2 linked regions of the Lytechinus pictus genome follow. Each later gene encodes a partner of the first gene's protein in a complex. Links are inferred from orthologs where the notes say so. Each region holds a gene or a part of one and is shown on either strand. Other genes may lie near its edges.

Region 1 (3,932 bases):
TCATTTTTTTTTCATTATTTCATACTTGTGTGAATAATATGTCTCCCTTATAATGAAATAAGTTGCAGCAATAAATATCTAATGCACTAAATCAGTTGTCAATCCAATTTTTCTAGTTCTTGGAGGAAAAAAATTGAATAAACCTAATTTCATATAATGACATACAAAAGAACAAGTGGGGATGTGACGTCGGCCGACCTAATGAATATTCATGACGACTGTTTTCACAAAATATTGCGAAACTTTGAAATTCAATAACTTTGTTATCTGTTATCCGATTTTGATGAAATTTTCGGCATTTTGCTCAGTGAATTCTACTCTATTTATTAAGCTATAAATACTTTCAGCCCGGACCATCCCTTTAAGTGAAGGTTCTAGGAAATGCCAGACAAAAAAAAGGTGTGATTTGATAAAAAGAAGGAATTATTTTTTTGTTGAAATCTATAAATTAATGTTCCTGCTGTACAGAGGTTATGAATATAAAATTGTTACTGTTTTTTTACAATACAAGCCCCTCAACATCCCTTAACTGGGAGGCTGTTCACACTACGTTCCTAAAACTAGTTTAGTGGAAACTAGTTTAACGCGTAGTGAGAACGGTCGAAGCGATCTTCCAAACCGGTTTGGAAAACCACCTCGCGATGTAGTTTTCAAGATCGCTTTGCCTCGTTAAACTGGTTTTAGCGTAAGTGAGGACACAACCATTCTTCGGGAAGCGATCTTCGCACATTTTGAGCGCGCTACTCCACACGACAGGTGTAGAATGCCAATGCTGCGGTTTCAAATTTCGCGCGAAACATGTCACCCCTCTGAGAGCGTTTTCATAGCAACAAGAGCGCTTTACGTAAAGTGATTTTGAAAGCCACTTTCGTGTGATCAAGTGGGAACGCTAGCAAAGCGATCTTCCAAAGTGGTTTCCTGAATCGGTTTCCAGTAAGCTAGTTTTAGAAAGCGTAATGAGAACGGCCTCTGGTACTCTTTGCTATGTATAATATGCTTATTATTCCTGCAACAACTTCTAGTTTTAACCTTCAGTATACGTTTTTCTCATCTCACTATTTATTTTCATCCTTTTCTGACAGGGTTGTGATACAGTAGTAAAGGGGTTATTTCATCTTAAAAAGTCTTAGGTTTTTATTTTATTTTTGATCATTTTTAACTGTCTTAAATTATTTGAATCAATGTAAAGACACTTTCAATTGATAGCAAATGTACTGTAATTCAAAGCAAGTTGGTTTGAGAAACTGTCATTGTGAAAATGATATCTTCTTATGCAGACAAAATCAGACAGACACATGGCTTTGCCAAGGAGAAATGCAGGACGTCAGAGTACGACCGAATACTCCATTCTCTCCAATCTGGTCTCCCCAACGAAGTGGACTTCGCCATCAACATCTGCACGCTGCTCTCCAACGAAGGCAAGCACGTCATCCACTTGGAGAAAGCACCCATGTTCATTGACCTACTGCTCGCACATGCAGGCATCTTCTATGAAGGTATTAGAGATGATCTCCTGATATTTCAGGGATTCTTTTTTCTTTTAAATGGTTTTAGTGAAAGAAAAGTTTATTCCAAGACCCATATCACAAAGCTTAGTAATTTATCTATTGCCAACTCGTCCACTCATCACACGGTCTATCTTCATATAGTCTAATGCCATTCCTTCCATCAACATTTCGTCAACAGCCATTTGGTCTAATAACCATTTGGTCCAATCATCGCTTCGTCTAATCACCAATTCCTCTATGACTATTTCGTCTCCTAACCAGTTGGTCTGCTACCCATTTTATTTTCATTTATTTCACCCAATTAACACTTAGTCCAATTAGACCAGATGGTATATGGACTAAATGGCTATTAGACCAAGTGGCTATTAAAAGAAATGGCGAGTGGATGGAATGGAAACTAGACCATGTGGATATTGGACAAACTAATTGTAGCCAAATGATGGTAGACGAGTTGAGAATTGGACGAAGTGGCATTGGATCAATTGGAAGTTAACCGATTTATCATATAGATGATTTAGATGGTTGATTGATTGTAATGAAGCAGAAAAAATTCCTATGATTAAGCACTATGCTTTGTGTTAGATGGCCCCTGGCCCTGGGAAGTGTTTTATAAAGTGATTTGGGGAGAATTGATTGCATAGACCACAATGTACAATTGTTTGTGAAAATCACTCGCTATCGTTTGTGACACGGGACCCTGGCCTCCTTAAAGGAGAATCCAGTCCTGGTCATAATATGTTGTGTTTGAAAGGAGAAAAATAAATAAAACAGAATGGTGAAAGTTTGAAAGAAATCGGACAAGCAATAAGAAAGTTATGGCTGTTTTAAAATTGAGATCTCTAAGACTATGTAGATTTCAAATTGGCAGCTGGGTAAGTAAATTATGACAAGAGGCAAGGACAACTTTCCCATAGGCCATGTACTTTATTATCAGGGATTTGTGGTTTTCTCCCAAGTACCTATTCCCCTGGGGCTGTAATCTAAATATAGCCTAGGTAGTATATTGTTTTATGTCCTCATGAAAGAAAAATATAATTTGAGGTAAAACATTTGAAAAAAAAAATCAATTTTAGTCATTTTATGTATTGGAGTACATGGAAGAGTAGTCCTTGCCTTACATCACTTTGACATCACATTTGTTGCCAATTTGAAATCTCCACAGGTATAGTGATTACCAATATTCACAACTTTTTAAAATTCATAACTTTCCTATTGTTTGTCCGATATTGTTCAAACTTTCACCTATCAAATTGTCTGATTTTACTTTTTCCTCTAAAAGCAAGTTTTTATTTGGGTCTTTTAACCCTAAAATGGCCGGGGGGGGGGGTTGAATCAACCCCCCCCTCAACATTTTCTGCGATCATTCCGCCGCGCGAAATTTTTTGACCACGCCACTCGCAGAGTTTATACTTTTAAGTCTCGCGCATCTTTTGAGACCAAATTTACGACGCCCGGGTACGCGGTTCCGAAATTACGCAACATTTTGTAAGTGCATGTCAGACCAAAAATTGTTCCAAAACGTGATTTTGTGTACAAAGTCAATGCAAATTGAGTTTTCTCATCTTATTCATAAAGATATGATTATTTTTACTTTAAACAGCTGAAAGCAATTGACTTAAGCATAAGTATGCTTCAAAAAGGTTGTGCAATAAATCTGGTGAAAAAAACAAAGAAAAACAAAAGGTTGAAAAACAAAGAAATACATAAGAAATTCATAAAACAATAAAATACATAAAAAATTGATTTCCAAACCAAAGTTTTTTTCAATTGCCATTGTTAAGAATGCTACAAAGAATATTTTTACCAAAAATTAGCATTCTAGGAGCTTTATTTAGTGAATTAGAGCAAAAAGTATGATTTATGCATAAATTAGCATAATTAATTAATATAAAATAAAATCTCATTATTTTGGAAAATTTTACCATACAGCCTTGTAGATTACATCGCACGCTACCAGCGTGCAAATTTTTGTGGCGCTCGCGCGATCGGTGGCCGAGATCTCAGGGGGGGGTTGAATCAACCCCCCCCCCGGCCACAGAACAGCCAAAAAAGCCCGGCCTAGTTAGGGTTAAGATACGAGTTTCATTTTTTTCTCAGGACCTGGAAGTTTGAGGAAGCTATACGAAGAAGACTGGGTGGAGAAAACGAGAAGAAAATTTGTACAGTTCTGGTATGACACCATCAGTGACAAAGAAGTCAGGGAGGTGATCGGTCCAGGATCTAAAAAACCAGAAGGTAAATATCATCACTTTGTATAGTAATAAGATACTTCTACCAACCAATGATTTTATGGGAAAGCTATCGTATGATCATCCCAGTAAATTGATATTTTTTCTCGCCTGAACAAAACACTTACAGTTAAACACATCCTCATTGAATGTGCTGATTTTGCACATATTCGTACTAACTTTTATGATGTTCCTG
Region 2 (3,932 bases), on another chromosome or scaffold:
CTAAGGAGGAAATCTACCAAGTTTCATATAATATATCCTCTTTTCTGGGAAATGAGAAAAAAAATCATGTTTTTGGTAACTGACGTTACATACCCTATCACATACTTCATCAATATTTCTTTATCAGACAAATTAATTACTGGTGTTTCTTTCTAGATGGGATTTGATAAAGTGTTATAATAGCAAGCTAAGGCAAAGGGAAAACATGATCAAACCTGTTCTTTAAAAATCTGTCAAAACAAAATATGTATCAATATACCATTTTCAACACTAATTTGTATGCATACTTTGGCGGCCATTTTGAAATAAAAAATGGCTGCCAGAGTCGGAAAAAAAAATTGTCCCAGAAACTTCAGGTCTTGTATTATTATAAAACATAATTCATTTGACATGAATATCAATTTGATTTTTTTGCCTCTGTGTCCATCTGTGGTGAAAATGCCCTAATGATCATCAAGAAACACATAAACTTTGCCGTAGATTTTATTACTTTATTTTAAGTTCTATATTTTTAGATGGTAATATATCAATCGATTGTCAAGAATACATGTTTTATAAGGCTTTTATAAATAATAATCTTCATCATGATTTCATTCAGATTAGTGTTTTCTTTTTCTCTCCGCAGATACAAATAAATTATTTACACCAGAAAATTAAATGTTTAATAGAGTTTGACTTTGATATTTTTTAGGCCTACTAGATCAACTACATCATAAAAATGTGTTTTTATTTGATTAATTGATTTAATAATTATACTGCATATATATATATATATATATATATATATATTATGTGCTCGCTAAGCCCCAGCGACACTCTTCTTTAAAAATGTATTTGGTATTCTCTGTTTGTCTTTTGTTCATCCTTCCTTTGTATACATTATATTTGTTGTGATTTGATATGTGCTTATATTGTAAATTGTTTTTACGTTTTTATGGAAATGTGGAAAAATACACCTTGAACTTTGAAATGTTAATGAAGGTGCATTTCCATATTTGCTCTTCACTGTTCTTCGTTGTTAATTATAAATCTTAGTCCTGGAACTTTTTCAAAATTTTGTTGTAAATTTGTTTATGCTCAAAATTTTTATTGGTAATCAGGATCCTCTGTGTTTTGATCTTTCAATATTTCTTTTGTTTTGTCTTACATGAAACAAAGAAGAATATATCTTAAGAAGTATGTCAAAGCGAAGAAGGTCAACCACTACTGATGTTAAAGATGATGATGATCTCCACACTTCTCCAACGTCTGTTGCTATCAAAAGAAGAAAGAGGTCCGTCAATGTCAATGATGCTGTAAGTATATGATTTCATCTTGAAGTATGATCTGTCAAAGCTTCATGGAGGTACGGATATTCTTTATTTAGTTTATTTGTTTCTTTGTTAACAATAACAATTTGATGAATATTTAATTGTTTGTTTCCAAAAGTGGAAGAGATGTCCGTGGCTATCTAGACTCATAAGCCCGTATTCTGAAGTAGAGTTTTACTTAGACCATGGTCCAACCCTGTAGTAATATTATGGGAAGCCAAAAATATTGTTTACATTGTATTTTTCTCATGTTTACCATGTTCTCTCTTAATTCTTTAATGGTGAAGGCAACTATGCTATTTACCCTCTCTGTTAAGAATGTTTTGAGAGTAAAATGAGCTAATAATTTGAACCTCTACTGTTTATGTCACATTTGTCTATCCATAGTTAAACCACAACTTAGACCAGAATACAGGTAATAGTCCCAATTCTCATGTCACATATTCATTTAATGACACACTTGCAGTCCAGCTGTTTGCAGTCTCACCTTTTTCCTCCTTTTCAATGTTTTTCCCGAAAGAATATCTTCCTTAAAATATCAAGATGGGAATATATTTTTTTCAGTCCTTCCACCCTTTATATAGAGTACCGTACTGGGAAGTGTCGCATAGCCAAATGCCTTTTCTGATGGCAGTCAAGGAAATTTGACATAAGAACAAACTTGATTTTTTCTCACCCAAAGTTTGCTTTAAATACTCAGGAAGTGTTCCTTTTTTAATGTCATTCAAGCTTGCTGTACAGCTTGTAAACTTAATATGAATATCCTTAAATTTATGGTTTATAGTGAGGTTCTCCTTTATAAGTTCATATTTAATGTAGTCCAATTTCATGGAAATGTGCTTTCCACCAGCATTACAAACATATGAAACACACATAGGATGCGAAAACATAGAAAAAAGATGGTGAACAATTATACAATACATTTAAAACAGACAAACAAAAGTATGATTATAAAGGAATTTATATTATTCATCCTACAAATGCGAAATTACAGCGTGAAAAATTTATATATTTGATTTTTTTTTTTAAAATACAGGGTGAAGTAATTCAGGAGTTATATGACATCATCAGAAACTACAAGAATGAAGATGGTAGAGTTATATGTGAAGCTCTTATCAGAATTCCCAAAAGGAGGTAAATATAATGAGTTCCTGATATTAAATTTATTATATCACTGGTTCTATCTTTTAGTGAAAGCGGTGAACATATCTGCAAATTAACTACATTGCTTTATAAGAAAAGGTTACATTTAATTTCTTTGAAAAATCCTCATTTTAATGTTGACTGTCTATTGACATGAACAGTTGTTTCGGTGTAGAAGAGCTTATTTAATTGTTTGATTTTGAAGTGTCTCAAGTTGTATAACAGTATATGGCCTGTTTTTTAAAGATAATTCATAATAGCGTTACCATGAATAAGACATTTGTGTGAAGTTCTCTTGGATTGAAACTAGAACAACTTTAAGATGAATGAGGGAACTGATGACAGCACTCACTCACTTTTTCTTTTGTATTTTATTATAAGAAATATGAAATACGTGTATTCTTATTTTCTCCTCTTTGTCCTGTGAAACAAAGTTTTATTTCTCACTGAACATGTGGAATTACCAATGTTTAACGTTATATGGTTCTGTCGAGTTGGTCCTTATTGTCAAATCTATAAAAATTGAAATATTGTATAATTCAAACAATAAAAAACAAGAAATAGTGAGTGAGGGACATCATCGATTTTCTCATTTGCATGTGACTAAATTTTGCATATAACTATTTTGTGAAAAATAAGCCAAACTTTGAAATGTCATAACTTTCTTATTTTACATCCGATTTTGATGAAATTTTCAGCATTATGCTTGTCTAATTTTTTTCTTTTGATTCAAATCAACATTTTTATGAGGTGGATGAGCATTTCATATGTCTATTTTGACAGGACTACACCAGAATATTATGAAGTGGTTTCTAACCCCATTGATATGCTGAAGATTCAGCAGCGTATGAAAACAGAAGAATACGACACAGTGGATGAAATGGTGGCTGATGTTGAGCTCATGGTTAATAATGCACAGGCTTACTATGAGGTAAGATATTTACATTTTACTGAAAACTAGATGAGAGTTTGTTAAATGAGATGTCAGAACTTCCCTTTCTGGATGATTTAAGAATTTGACAACTTGTTTATTTTGTTTTTTCCTTATATTAGGGTGATTGCATACACGGCTAAAACAAGTTTTAAAACCCTGCTTCCCACACAAAGCCCGATGCAACTTGTTTGTGCTCATGTGTTTCAGCTGTATTTATGTTGTACCACATTTATACTACAGACCATATTGCAGAACTTTTCAAAATTGATGTGGTTATTATTAAACTGGATAAATATTAATTTTGTGCTATTGTGCAACAAAAAATTCACAAAAATTCTCAAGGTCTCCATTCTTATATCCCATTGTTAGATTTTCATTAGGTAAAAAGGCTCTGAGAGGTATGAGAAAAAAATAAAGAAACTGAGTAATGTGTTTATACATTATTCAAGAATACATTTTGTCATACATCCTTGATTCTTGATCCGATATTCTGTGACAGTTTTCAGTACTGTACAAGCTGTTATTTTCGCGTACAGAAATTTTCG

What was found.
Region 2: AT-rich interactive domain-containing protein 2-like (region 1) and protein polybromo-1-like share a complex: the UniProt entries of both Homo sapiens proteins name them as parts of the SWI/SNF-B (PBAF) chromatin remodeling complex. The link is inferred for Lytechinus pictus from reciprocal best matches to the Homo sapiens genes ARID2 and PBRM1.

Annotation. Positions count from the first base shown.
Region 1 is NC_087263.1:4,093,418-4,097,349, reverse strand, and holds the start of AT-rich interactive domain-containing protein 2-like, read left to right. Parts: upstream 1-1,177; 5' UTR 1,178-1,258; coding exon 1,259-1,496; intron 1,497-3,605; coding exon 3,606-3,743; intron 3,744-3,932. UniProt on the Homo sapiens protein: Involved in transcriptional activation and repression of select genes by chromatin remodeling (alteration of DNA-nucleosome topology). Required for the stability of the SWI/SNF chromatin remodeling complex SWI/SNF-B (PBAF).
Region 2 is NC_087247.1:59,697,280-59,701,211, reverse strand, and holds the start of protein polybromo-1-like, read left to right. Parts: upstream 1-1,162; 5' UTR 1,163-1,178; coding exon 1,179-1,295; intron 1,296-2,346; coding exon 2,347-2,444; intron 2,445-3,236; coding exon 3,237-3,384; intron 3,385-3,932. UniProt on the Homo sapiens protein: Involved in transcriptional activation and repression of select genes by chromatin remodeling (alteration of DNA-nucleosome topology). Required for the stability of the SWI/SNF chromatin remodeling complex SWI/SNF-B (PBAF).